2 linked regions of the Canis lupus familiaris genome follow. The protein of the gene in region 1 interacts with the protein of each later gene in a biochemical or structural test. Links are inferred from orthologs where the notes say so. Each region holds a gene or a part of one and is shown on either strand. Other genes may lie near its edges.

The links. The genes of interacting proteins can lie anywhere in the genome.
Region 2: the proteins of PSMD2 (region 1) and UBLCP1 form a complex in vitro, tested with the Homo sapiens proteins (3 studies listed by BioGRID). The link is inferred for Canis lupus familiaris from reciprocal best matches to the Homo sapiens genes PSMD2 and UBLCP1.

Annotation. Positions count from the first base shown.
Region 1 is NC_049255.1:17,348,988-17,352,918, reverse strand, and holds the start of PSMD2 (26S proteasome non-ATPase regulatory subunit 2), read right to left. Parts: upstream 2,801-3,931; 5' UTR 2,753-2,800; coding exon 2,618-2,752; intron 2,169-2,617; coding exon 2,112-2,168; intron 1,743-2,111; coding exon 1,578-1,742; intron 718-1,577; coding exon 596-717; intron 422-595; coding exon 197-421; intron 1-196. UniProt on the Homo sapiens protein: Component of the 26S proteasome, a multiprotein complex involved in the ATP-dependent degradation of ubiquitinated proteins.
Region 2 is NC_049225.1:52,118,142-52,128,466, reverse strand, and holds the start of UBLCP1 (ubiquitin-like domain-containing CTD phosphatase 1), read left to right. Parts: upstream 1-4,534; 5' UTR 4,535-4,696; coding exon of another isoform or gene 4,697-5,059; intron 5,060-5,305; coding exon of another isoform or gene 5,306-5,398; intron 5,399-5,514; coding exon of another isoform or gene 5,515-5,552; intron 5,553-8,059; 5' UTR 8,060-8,103; coding exon 8,104-8,257; intron 8,258-9,040; coding exon 9,041-9,132; intron 9,133-9,536; coding exon 9,537-9,622; intron 9,623-9,705; coding exon 9,706-9,821; intron 9,822-10,325. Other genes in the region: uncharacterized protein LOC119876217, read right to left, coding at 3,671-3,770, 4,697-5,059, 5,306-5,398, 5,515-5,552. UniProt on the Homo sapiens protein: Dephosphorylates 26S nuclear proteasomes, thereby decreasing their proteolytic activity. Recruited to the 19S regulatory particle of the 26S proteasome through its interaction with 19S component PSMD2/RPN1.

The DNA of each region.
Region 1 (3,931 bases):
ACCGCATGGCTACCATATACCAGGCATTGTGCTAGATGCTGGACCACTAAAGAGACACGAAGTCTCTGTCCTCAACAAGCTCACAGACACCCACAAATCAACTGCAGCCTCATTCCAAGAGAACAGAGGTGGTACAACTGACAGAGAAATGCTGGGGAGGCTAGGCCCTCCACCCACCCCTACCGTGCTCACTCACCTGGTAAGATAGAGGCAGACCTTTGCATATGCATTCTCATCGATGTCCTTCTCCAGCATATCCACCTGCTCAATTTCCATGAGCAGGTCACAGGCCTCATGCTCTGCATTGTGGGCCATGTTGTAGGGGACAATCTCCTTCACCAAGGTCAACAGTGGTTCCCGTTGTGATTTTTCCGCATCATCTAGCTCCTGCCACTCCTTGGCCACTTCCCCTGCGAGATGCCTGTGGATAGGCCCATGACCATTAGGAGGGATACAGCTTCACTCCTGTGGCCCAAGGAATTCAATATTTGGGAAATGCAACACCCTGGTTCTCTAAGACAGATAGTATCCCAAGACAGAACTCAGAATTAGGTCTCAGAATTCCTTTTAGATTCTCAAGAAGGAAAGGTCTTACCTGACATACTCATGACCCCATGATGCCAATTCCTCCTGGGAGCCGACCAGTCGATACTTGAGGCACTCACGTTCCCCACTCATGGTCATGGCCAAAACAGAGATGATGTCAGCAGCAAAACGCTGTAAAGAAACCAGTGCTTTAAAGTCAAATCCAGGGGAAGGAGAGTGGGAGACTATAGAGTTATGACTACCATCACTATCTCCCAAATTAAGTTGTAACTATCCACCAATCTCTATATTAGAAATTTACATGCTTTATCTAATCTAAGCCTCAAGATAACCCTAAGGTTGGTGTTGCTATCTCCCTTTGAAACCAATACGGCTGAAGAATGATAACAAGGAGAAAACAAAAAAGATGGGAGACTGAATTTTGTTCTAGTTGCAATAATAAATTATTAAAAGGTTTTAAGCAGAAAAGATTTTCACAATCTAAAAAGATCACCGTGGCTGCTCTGTGAAAGACAACCTGTATAAGTCACAAGCAAAAACAAGGCAGCCAGTTTAGGAGACCACTGAGGAACAAAAGATTTCCTGGATTATAGCTATACTAGTAGACAGAGAAATAATTGAACTAGGAATTTATTTTAGAAATAAAACAAGTGAACTAACATGGGATATGATAGAAATAAAAAAATCAAAGCTAAACATAAGTTAAAAACAGATCATGAGGGGTGCCTGGCTGGCCCAGCATGCAACTCTTGATCTTGGGGTCATGAATTCGAGCCCTGCACTGGACACATATTACTTTAAAAAAATCATGAAAAAAAATTCTAAGATCCACCATAAATGACAAAAAGGTGTATTCTGAGAAGGTCACCCTCCCGTCAGCTCTTGTGCCAGTATTTTGACTATGATCAGCTCAGTTCAACCAGCTCAGATCTCAGGTCTGTTAGGCTTCCTATGATTCACCAGGAGACCCCTGGGCTAGATGAAAAAGTATTACTAAGCTAGGCTTCCATCAGCTTCTGAAACAAGTTTACCTTATTCTCCCCGGGGGCCATGTTCTCATAGATTTCCTTCAGTTTGCCATAGTGTGGACGCAAAAATTTGAGAGGCTTGGGTACTGAAGTCATGGAAGTTGTAGAAGATCGAATTTGCCTCCGCAGTTCCTCCAGGGCTGGTCGGTACAGGGATGTGTCCTTCTCCTGATCAGGAGATGTTAGAGCTCAGACACAAACGAGTCCCATTTCTCAAGTCATAACACAGAGGTGTTTAACTAACAACTCCCTTAAGAAAGTAATTGTGTCTTATTCATCTGTGATTCCCCAACTCCCCGCTCCCTGCCTGGTACCAAAAAAAAAAAAAAAAAAAAATCCCAGTAAACAGTTCAAGAAAAAAGCTACAAAGTCTTTCAACTATCCTTTGTCATTCTTTTCTCTCACATCATCATCACAACCCTAAACAATCCGTCTTTCCTTATACCTCATATAGGAATTGTTGCCCCAAAATGTAATAAATCAAACAGGCAGGAAAGATCCAAATATGTACCCACTCAAGTCCACATCATGACTCACCCCTAGCCGTTCCACAAGCATCTCCAGTTCATCCTGCAGTTGTTTGTCCTCCTCAGACTGAGGGTTGGGGGAAGAAGTTCGTCAAGAGAAGGAATCCCAAACACATCCTCCTCCCATTCACCCCGGGGCAGGTAGAGGTAACCTGCCTCCTTAGGAGGGATCAGGTGGACAAGGAAAGAGCGCAGAAATGGCACCCTGGCGGGAAGGCAGGTGGGAAGGCAACCTGGCATCTAGGCCAGGCTGCTTCAATGCCATACTAAAAAACAGGGGTGACAATGTCCGGCCCGGGCCCACCTCACGGGTCAGTGGTGAGGGCTGGTGGGGTCGGCAGAGGCGAATGCGCAGAGTGGAGGATGAGGGGCAGGGAGTGCGAGGAGCCCCGAGGATCGCTCCATCCGCCCTCTCCCGGACGCTGCGGGGCCGTTGAGAGTCGGGCCCAAGGCCTGCGGACCCGCGGTGACTCAGCCCCGCGGCCTCCTCCGCCGGGTCCCGGGGCCGTGCCTCACCAGCTCCTGTTCTTTGTCCTTGTCGCTTGCATCCCGCCGTTCCTTGCCGCTCGGCTTCTCGTCCGCACTGCCCGGGGCGGTCGCTGGGGGTTGCTGAGGCTGCAGCGGAGCCTTATCCCGTCCACCCTCCTCCATCGCCGCCGCCACTGCCGGCCAGCTGCGCGCGCACCGCTCGCACCGCCCGCACCGCCCCGTTTCCCATGTGGCCTTGCGCGCGTGGCCGACGGCGCCCCGCCCCCTGAGCGCGCCTGCGACCGGAAGCGCCGCTGGGAACCTTCCACCGCCGCGTCGCGGGAGGCCCGGCCCTCGACCCCGCCCTCGGAGGCCGCCCCCAAAACTGCAAGTTCTAACCGCTCACGCGCCCCAGGCGCCGCCCCGGCTCGGACCGGGAGTTTCCGGAAGGCCACGCTGCTGTGCAGTCTGCGATCCGAGTCCGCTGGCTGCGGTAGGAGATGAAGAGCCGCGAGCCGAGGGACCGCCCGCGGGGTCTCCTTACTCGCCGAGCGACCGGTACCCACAGTGACACCGCAGTCGGCTGCGTGGTGGGACAGACGAACGAAACCCTTCACGTCCGGAATGCTTGATCGCCGCCCGTGTGAGATCTGCAACCTGTATCTACTTCCGCCGCCGCGGAATATTAACCTCGTAACGTTTTACCCCCGGGTGAAGGAGAGTGCTCGGGTACCACCTGCCGCGTACGGCCCCCACCTTAAATCCACCTGCGGAGCCTGGTCGGAGTCCATCAATACAATGTGGTCCTATGCTCCGATGCTAAACTCTAGAACTAAAGGCAGATCAAGACACAGGCTTTGCCTTCTTCAATCTCTGTCTTTTGGTCTTTCCGTGATTTGACTTAGAAGGGGTGTGAAGGACACTGTTGAAGTCAGGATTAGTTCTAGATGATACATAACGTCCTCTCGGCCGTTTGAATTTGGTAAGGCTGTGTCCCGTTTCCACAGAGGAAATCAGGTAGTCAGTAGTAGGATCAGGATTTGAACCTTGATCCAGTCTTCCAAGTTCCTGATTGTTTGAAGCAAAACTCCATGTTTTTTCTTAAGTTTGGGGCTACATGTATGCATCCAGAAGGTGAGAAAAGGGGAAGTAACTCCTCCCCCTCATCTGGTGGGAACACTCACCAGTTGACCTGGGGTCTTCATTATGGGTTCTGGGGCGTTAAAGAATGCAGAAAGTATTTGTGTTTTTTTGTTTTTTGTTTTGTTTTGTTTTGTTTTTAGAAAAACCTAGGACAGCATTGTTAGCACTGAATGAATGTTGGCTAAATATATTTAGAGATAGAATTGCATAGCCTATTTT
Region 2 (10,325 bases), on another chromosome or scaffold:
TGGCAAAAGACATAAACCAACATAGTAAAGAAGCTAAGTGAACCTCAAACAGAATAAACTTAAATACATCTCCACCAAGACGTATCATAGTCAAACTTCCGAAAAAGAAAAAAAATCCTGAAAGGTGCAAAAAAGAAACAACTTATAAAGAGTAGGAAAGAACAATTCAAATGAAATTTCTCTTCTGAAACTATGAAGGCCAAAAAGAAGTAGCACATTTTTCAAGTGCCAAAAGAACTATCAATCCAGATTCTATATCCAAAGAAAACATTCTTTAGTAATGAAGGGGAAGTCAAGACATTCTCAAATGAAGGAAGTCTCAAGGCATTTGTCGCCAGCAGACCTATCCTGATAGAATGGCTAAAAGAAGTTCTCTAAATAACAAGTGAATAATAAAGGGACATTAGGAAGAAAGAACCATGGAAAGAGTGAAGACATGGGTAAATACGGATTAATCACCAAGGGTTAGGAGTGGTAAGAGGAGGAATAAAGGTGGGCATAAATGGGTAGCACAAGGTATCCTTGTAGTGATGGAAGAGTTCTGTATCTTGACTGTAGTGGTTATATGAATCTATATGTGATAGCACATGACATACATGCACACACATTGTACCAATGTCAACTTTTTGACCATACTAAGGCTATGAAAAACATAATCATTAGGAAAAAACTCAGTGAAGGATGCACATGATCTCTCTCTTTGCAACCTCCTGTAAATCCATAATTATTTTTAAACATTAATATAAACTATATATACAAATGTATATACATCTAAAGCATAGAAAAGACTTGCAAGGATAGGCATAAAAATTATGTAGTAAAGATATATCTGTATTATTTGAATTTTTTTAAAAAAAGAATGCCTTCATGAATTCTTACATTAAAAAGAATGCAAAATTATTGTAAAATATCCAAACACAGAAAAACATAAATAAGATGAAAATCACTTGCTCTATGATGCTATCAAGAGATAATTTCAATACACTCATTTAACAACTGAGTGTATCCCATGGCACCATGAACTGTTAACACTTTGGTGTATATTTCAGAACTTTCCTGTGCATCAAGAGCCATACACAGATTATAGTCATTCATGGATATGATTATTATACACATAATATATATTATATAATAAGCTCTCATTACTTGATGTTCTATTCATTAATATTCATCCATTCAGCAAATATTTGATTACCAGCTTTAGCCAATATCATGTTAGACTCCAAGAATATAATGGTGAATTAATCAGACAGGGGCTGGTTCTTTACAAAGTTTACAGTACAGTGAGAGACTGTCATTAAAAAAAAATCTGAAATACACAGTTATAGATTGTATCAAGTTTAAACAAATGTAAACAGTGTTTTGAAATGCCCAACTGTGAAAGGAAAGGTATCTTGATGGCAAGATACCATGGCATGTTTATCATTGATGGAAATAAACCAGTAGAGAGAAAGATTAAAAATACAAGTGCTAGAAAAGATATTAGATTTAAAGAAGGCTGAGAAGGAAGGAGCCAGAGCACAAGTATAAGGGTTGGCTTCAGGTAGAAGGAAATTGCCAAATAAAAACAGAAGCAAAAGAAGCAAAGACAGGTGCAGATATAACTTAGTTCATAGATTCAGAGATCTTAAGTTGAGGCAATTCCTCTGTGAGATCTTCTATATTCCTTTTTTTGTTTGTTTTTCCAGGGAGTGAGGGGCAGAGGGAGAAGAAAAGAACTTCAAGTAGGCTCCCTGCTGAGCCCAGAATCTGACACGGGGCTTAATCACATGACCCTCAGATCATGACCTGAGCCAAAATCAAGTCAGATGCTTAAATGAGTGAGCCACCCAGACACCCTGAGACTTATTTTCTTATCAAAAATATAAGGCGATGTCATTTGCCAAGAACAAGCACGTAAACTGGAAGATCTGAGGTTTAAAAAGAGTTGTGGTTTTAAGTTGTCATTTGGGAAAGCAAGCTAAATAGAGAAAGACAGTAAACTTGCCAGGCTGAATTAAGAGGCTGTGGAGTCTGCCCTATGGGACAGATTCTAATCATTTCAGCACACTGACTGCAGCCAGGGAAAAGGCAAGGGAACAGGCATTAGGAGAAACAGTAGCATTAACTTGAAAGAAAGAAGGGAAGGAAGGAAGAAAGGAAGCAAGAGGGAGGTAGGGAGGGAGGAAGAAAGGATTGTTTTTTGCTTGGGAGGAAACAAAATGCCCTAGAGACAAGGGGAAGGAGGTAAACAGGTCAGGTGAACGTGGCAGGATTTCTGGCTTGGGTGCAGGAATGTCCTTTAGCCTTCTAATCCAAACATGATCACAGTGATGTCAGCAGTTTATCATCTGATTTTATGAAATTGGTTCCATGTTTTAGTCTCTTAGACCTAACAACCTATCAAAACCCTAGGGAGGAATTCCAGGCATCTTTAGTTGCTGCAAAGAATTATGAGTAAGGCACAAGTATATTACTTTCCACACATTAAAAAGGAGGATCTAGTGAGCAATAGAAATTTAATTATTCTCTTCCTAATGGCACTTGTGGGTTGCTCTGAGCACTTTTTTTAAAGTCCACTTTGTATTTATTTCTAGTTACCAGAAGTCCTTTATTCCTAACATAATTTTTTATTTCATGAATATATAGCTAACTAGAAAAGGACATGGAAGAACTGAGATACGGGCAAATCATCTGTTAACTGGACTATTTGTCCAAAATACTCTGCTACCGGGGATCCCTGGGTGGCTCAGTGGTTTAGTGTCTGCCTTCAGCTCAGGACATGATCCTGGAGTCCTGGGATCGAGTCCCACATCGGGCTCCCTGCATGGAGCCTGCTTCTCCCTCTGCCTGTGTCTCTGCCTCTCTCTCTCTCTCTCTCTCTCTCTGTGTGTGTCTCTCATGAATAAATAATAAAATAAAATCTTTAAAAAAAATACTCTGCTACCATTATTTTCTAAGAAATACCACTCACTGTTCAACACTTGCAATTTTAAAATTATCTACACTTGAGTAACATCAAACTTATCAACCTTTTGTACAATGGCTATTTTATCATTAAAAAGAAGAATCTCTTTATGCATCCTTTTGCTTAGAATTAAAATCTAAAATGTCTTAGTTGACATTTATGACTAACAAAAACAAGCTTTTCTAGTAACAGGAAAAAATATACAGTGGCCAAGCAGCTGGTTAGCACATGAATAAAGAACAGACTGAGTTGAAAGAAAATAATTCATTCTGGAGTTCAGTCCCTTGTGTTTCGACCATCTTTTTTTGGCTGGACTGCTATTGTGTGATTTTTGTACAAAAATTTTTAACTTGGGGTTTTCCTTGCCTTTTTTTTTTTTTTTTTTTTTTTTGAGAGAGAGAGAGTGAGTGTGTGTGTGGCATATGGGAGCTGGGGTGGAGGGGCAGACGGAGAGGGAGAGTTTTAAGCAGGCTCCACAGCCAGCACTAGTGGAGGGGGTCTCTATCTCATCACCCTGAGATCATGACCTGAGCAGAAACCAAGAGTGGGATGCTTAATCAACTGAGCCCCCCAGGCACCCCACTTCCTTTTTTTTTTTTTTAAGTAAGGAGGGTATACTTTTATTTCACTGAAAATGTTTCATTTTTTAAAAAAGCAGCTTTTCATACACTACTAATGCAATATGCAATAGAAATTACCAAAAGAAAAGAGGTAAGAACATACAATAGCGTTTGTCTTGTCTAAAAAGTTGGGAAGACACGAAACTTGGCTTTTTGCTTTCCTTCCATCGTGGCCAAAACGGGAACGTGAATTATTTACATCACTGTGAAGTAGAAGTAAAAATATATGTAATTCAAAGACTGGTGCATAGCTCAGACCAATATCATGTCAGCATTTTCCCTTCCACATCAAAATCTAAGTTTTATTTGGCGCCATATGCAACAATCTAGCGGCAATATTTTGTTTTGTTTTGTTTTGTTTTTTGCCTGACAGCAAGCGATGCCCGTTGAGAGCTTGTTGTATGAATCAGATAGGGACTGCTCTGAATTTCCACTAAAGTCTACAATTCTTTTGTCTGGGTTTGTAACTGGCTTTCCTCGCATTCAGAGGGAAGGTGGAGCGGAGGTGGGGACGGGCAAGGGGAGGTAAAATTCGATGCCCTACTTTAGTGACCTCGATGGCAGCTCTCGTACTGAGATCTGCTTCTTCGGTTCTCGGAGTGACTTAGGCTCACCCCTTCCCTTTTCTGCGGGTCCTCAGTTTACCGTTGCATAAAACGGGTGGAAGTCCAAGCTCCTAAAATTACTCAAGTTGGAGGCCCCTGGTGCCGGGGCGGGGAGCGGAGGGGGCTCAAGTCTTCAGCCTTAAAGGGCCCCTTTCAGCCCTCATCCGGAACACGGCAACGCCACACGAGTCCTAGGCTCGAGTCCTACGAAGGTCTCCGCACACCCCGGCAGCCGGGGCCACGCCACCGACCCACCGCCGCGGGCAGCGCAACAATACGGGAGACGCCCCCCGCGGAGCCCCGCCCAGCTCCGCGCCCACGAGCGGGCGCATGCGCAGGCGGGCGAGGGCTGGCCCGTGTCCAAGGACCCCCCTGTCCGCCCCGCGGTCACGGGCCACAGTCTCGGAAAGGCCCGGCTCCCGCGCCGGGTCAGGAGATCCCTGGCAGCCGCTGTCCAGGATTACCCTGCCGGAGACGGACGCGGGAGGCCGCCGCGCAGTCTCCAGCGCGTTTCCGTTTCAAACCTGAACTTCCGGCTCGTTAGCCGGTTCCGGTCCCCGTTCCTCACTTCCGGCCGCCGTCGGTTCCGCTGTGGCCGGTTCCTGCGTCCACTGCTGCGGGCCCCGCGGCTCTCCAGGTGAGGGGACGCGGGGCGCCCCGGGGCGCTGCCCCCGGGGAGGCGGTCGGGGCCGGGGGGCCGCCGCGCGGCGCTGCAGTTCGCGCGACGCGGCCTCCACGGCGGCCCGCGGGCCGGGCCGGGCCGGGCCGGACGCTGCCTGCGGGCGCCCCGGGCCGCGTCTGCCCCGGTGTGCGGCCCAGGCCGTGGCCCCTGCAGCTCCTCGCCGGGCCTCCGCCCTCCCGCCCGGCCTCCGCGCTGCTGCCGGGGGCTCCCCAAGCCCCAGTGGGTTTTGCGTCCCCAGACTCCATTCCTGCGCCCTTCGGGGTTTGTCCACGGCTCCGCCTCCCCCTCCCCCTCCCCCTCCCCCTCCAGGTGAAGGCCGGGGCCTCGGGTTCTTGGGGTGCCTGCGACGCCTGCCTGCCTGCCTGCCTGCCTGCCTGCCTGCCTGCCTGCCGCCCTAGGGCGGTCGCCTCCCGCGGCTGCCGCCGTGCCGGAGGCTGGTTGAGGGCTTCACCTCCGCTCAGCGCCCCAGGCGGTCGCTTTTGCTGTTAGTTTCAGGTTTCCGCAACTTGCGGCCTTGGACAAAATGGTTTTCTTTTTCAGTTTTCTAACGTGGATACGTGAAGACAATAGTCGTCAGTTCAGGAATGCAAAGATCAAGTGAGATAAGCTGTTTGAGCAGGTGGCCGTGTGGTCATCGCCACCGTCCGCCTTGCGCTTTACAGTTCACAAAGTGCTGTCACAGGTGTTGCTTCGTCCATTAACGCTGTTCTCGTGAACTCAGGATCGCCTCATTTTGAGGCAGGAGTTTTGGAATTGACCGGACGGGTCAGTTCAGTATGTTAGGCAGAACTAACCCAAACGGCTGTCCTAGAGGTTGCGGTCCTTACTTGGGTAGTAGTTTTAATTGCCGTCAACCCTACCCCAAATCATTTTTCGGTGTATTGATCTGATAGGACCTAGAATGACACAAAGCATTAGAATGGCGTGAGAGAGGAGGTTAAATGGGAAAACATAAAATGACTCCTGCATTTGCACTGTGTGTTCCCTTGGGAGTGATCTGAATGTTGGAGAAATGAGGTTCAAAAGCAGTTTTAAGGACTCTGCGTTTAAGATTTCGAGGGTGTTTGTTTTGTTACGCTTGGTCGTTCAGAGCAATTGCCAACTTGGGATTCCCACCAGGGTGTAGGTGTACAGTGTATAACATTTGTATACTACTCTACTAAGCGTGCAGAGCCCAATGCCATCTGGTAGGTTTTCTTTTTTAGCTGAGAAAATTGAAGAGTTTAGAGCACTGGCTCTCAGACTTTTCGTATGCCTCAGAGACGGGGTGAGGGGGAGGCTGGGACAGGGATTGCTAAAACACAAATTGCTGGGTTCTTTTCTCTCCAGCCCCCGTTATGTTTATAGCAAGTTACCAAGTACAGTCATGCTGTTGCTTGGTCTTAGACAACGCTTCGAAAATACTGGTCTAGAGGTGAAATGACTTGCCCAGGCTCACCTGGAGCTCAGAGGATGTTACTCCAAACTCTCTGCTCTCGCCCCACCCCCAGCACAATGTAAACTCTGTTAGTTGGTGGTGGTCCCATTCTTAGCTCTTGTAAATTTTCATTTTTATTGCCACCTTCACAGAGGAATAATGTTTAAATCATATTTTAGTTTGGCTCGAAAGGTCTTTTTGGCACTTTATTGAGAATCATAACATTTCCTAGAGCAAGTTATCTCAACAGAACGCATTGCCCTAAATTACTACTTTAAATTTCAGTAGAGCAGGTACAAACATAAGAGCGTAAGTATGATTGATTTTCTAGTGCTTCCTCTAGTGGGCATGTTGAAGACCTCTTAAGTTCCTACGTTATTTTTGTATGTAATGATTCACAGTTTGTCTTCTTGCATTGGTTATTATCCAGGGAGAATGCAATCAAATGTTTCCTTAAACAAGTGATAGCATCTGGAAATGGAGATTAGGAAATTCAATTCTCTGACCTGGGGGGAAACGGACTTAGGAAAATTGATAAAAAGTATTAAGAGAGAAAAGCCCTACATGCCATTGTTGATGAGACTAACAACCACTATTTGATCTTGTGCACTTTTATCTGTGCCTGTGGGTTTTTATTTACTGATCTTTGATGCTTTGCCTCCTGTAGGTCCCAATTCAAGAGAGGCAGTTGTGATGTAGAGGAAGAAACATGAGATTTAGTCAGAAGACCTGTTCTGTTACCGCCTGTGTGCCCATTAGCAGATTACTTAGCCTCTCTGAAGTCCCATTTTTTTAATTGCAAAAGAGGGATGATTCTTATCAACCCTGTTAAATGACATTGCATAAAAACTTTCCAATTTATTAAATACTAAACAAATAATGGCGATGCTTTTTATTTAGCACAGTGCCTGGAACACATCAGCTCAGATTTTTTAAGATTTTATTTATTTATTAATGAGAGAGACACACAGAGAGAGAGAGAGAGAGAGAGAGAGAGAGACAGGCAGACACACGGGCAGAGGGAAAAGCAGGCTCTGTGCAGGAAGCCCGATGTGGGACTCAATCCCAGGACTCCAGGATCACACACTGAAGGCGGCGCCAAACCGCTGAGCCACCGGGGCTGACTGTCAGCTCAGATTTTTAAGAAAATTTATTTAGATAATGCTTATTTTTGTAGTGCTTACTATGTGCCAGGTCTATATGACTTACAAATATTAGCTAATTTAAGCCTCATAAGAACCCCAAAGTAGAAATATTCTCATCCTTAGTTTACAGAGAAGGAAACTTAGGCACTAGGAGTCTGGTAACTTCCCAAAGTAAAATAGCCAATAAGTGAGAGAGCTGGGATCTAAACCCAGGTACTATGGCTCTAGGGTTTGCACTTTTAACAACTCACTGTGCCACTTCTCAAGTGTTACTATGAATGGTCCATGATGGAGGAACTTACCTGTAACATAAACCTGGTCAAACAGAGAGGGAGGGATAGGTAGCTGATCATTGCAGAGTATATTAGGAAGTAGTAACTTTAAGCCAAAAATTGGGAGGGTAGGGGAATTTTAACTTTGAGGCCTAATAACTTTTGGTGTTCTGGTAACACAGATTCTGTAAGGAGAAAATCTTGTTTCTCCACCATCCAGTTGTAAAGTAGGACTCAAACTGCATTGCTTCTAAAACTTAGTTACAAATTTAGCTGCAAACTGCATTGCTTCTAAAACTTAGTTACAAATTTAGCTGCGTCTTTGATGTATCTGTTTTAACTTATTTACTGGTATATCCCTTTCTTTTTAGGTATCTTTTTCTGAGTGAAAGCTGCTTGATCGTATGTTTCAAGGATGGCTCTTCCTATCATTGTAAAATGGGGTGGACAGGAATATTCAGTGACCACACTTTCAGAAGATGATACCGTGCTAGATCTCAAACAGTTTCTTAAGACTCTTACAGGAGTGCTACCAGAACGCCAAAAGTTACTTGGACTCAAAGTTAAAGGTAATTCTCTCCTCACTTTAAACTTTTTGCATCGAAACACTTATGAATTTTCATATGTTATTTTTTTCTCTTTAATAAGTCTTTCTCCTTTAGATTTCTTTGTTAGGGATATCCCTAAAATTGCTGTATGATAAAAATAATATTAAAAATTTCTTGAAAATACCACCGCTATTAAGATTACTTTTGATTCCTCTGACAGTTGGTGTTTGCTTGTTAAACCTGTGGTGCAGAAGTCTCAGGTAAAACAGTGTAGTTTCTGACATCTGTGTTCTAGCACAGCTTTTTCATTACAGCTGGGTTCTTATACTCTCCCTAAGTCATCTTTTCTGCTTCAAAAGTAATGTTTTAAAATGATGATTTAAAAATTATAAGCAGTGTTTATATCCAGTTCGAAAGGAACTTTCCTGGTGTTTGTGTTTGGCATATCATTGAAGAGTGAATTTTGGGTAGCAAAAAATCTCGAGTTTTGTCTTAGGTGCTCAGTGTTCAAGACTTTCTGGAAAACATCTTCATCTTGAACAACAAACTAAAATAATTTATTTTCTTTAGCTAGTTGAATAAAGATGTTCCTCTGAGATGGAGTTGGGGAAAAAAACAAATTTATTAGTTGCTACTTGTTAGTGTGTTAGACATTGCTAATTCAGCAGTGAAAGTTTGTTAATTTAAGAAAAAAACTGCTGTGGAATCTGTACCAAACCTTTTAATATTAGGGTTTTGTATAATGGGATAGTGAAATCAGCACCTGAACTTTAGTGAGAAAACAGTCATTTGCTTGTATTGTAGGCAAACCTGCAGAAAATGATGTTAAGCTTGGAGCTCTCAAACTGAAACCAAATACTAAAATCATGATGATGGGAACTCGTGAGGAGAGCTTGGTAAATGTTTACTTTTGTTACCATTTGTCCCTTTGAAGGTATTATGATTTATATTACACTGTTGTATCATGGTTTTAATTGTGGTAAAATTGTCAGTTTTGCAGTCCGTGAAAAATAAAAGCTTCACAGTGTATGTGGTATTAACTCAGCAGAAAACAAATACTAGGGAACTTTTAGTATATAGTTAGCATAAGCATAGTAGTCGTGCAAATGGTCAAACTTAACACGGTAAATCTACTCAGTGAATGTATGTTATGAATTATAAAATGTGGAAATTTCCTCACAGTGTGTGCTTGAAAGATTCTTGATCTTGGACTGTATCTTTTATTTGCTTTTTATGTTATGCATGTATTTGTTATGTTAAAGATAATCTGGTAAAACAGAACTCTTTTTCATCTTAATAGGAAGATGTCTTAGGTCCACCTCCTGACAATGATGATGTTGTCAACGACTTTGATATTGAAGATGAAGTAGTTGAAGTAGAAAATAGGTAAGTACTTTATACTATCAAAGGAAATGGGTTGTAGTGTGTGAAAAAAGTGAATGTTTCACCTTATTTTATTTTTCCATTAGGGAAGAAAACCTACTGAAAATTTCTCGTAGAGTGAAAGAGTATAAAGTGGAAATTTTGAATCCTCCCAGGGAAGGGAAAAAGCTTTTGGTACTAGATGTTGATTATACATTATTTGGTAAGTCAGCTAAAATTGCACTTTACCTTCGGTTACCCATAACAACTCTTTTTTTCCTTTTATTTTTTTCTTCCAATATGAAATATTTAAAAGTTTTTCTTCTTCTTCTTTTTTTTTAAAGTTTTTCTTCTTATTATAAAAAGTATATCATTTATTGTAGAAAATACTAAAATTATCTGTAATTCCAAACCCCCAAAATAATTATTCTTATATTTTGATGTGTATCTTCCAGAGTGTGTTTGTATGTATATCCTTTCTACTTTTGCTTAATGATTATTTTGAATATTTCAGTCATTTAATATTATTCTTTGTGAATTAAATACAGTTTTTGGTTATCGCTACTCTAGTTTGTGGATGTATCTTAATTTAAGTCATTCTCTATTGATTAACATTTAAATTTTTTGAGGATTATTTAAAAATCATTTTTGAGGGGATCCCTGGGTGGCGCAGCGGTTTGGCGCCTGCCTTTGGCCCAGGGCGCGACCCTGGAGACCCGGGATCGAA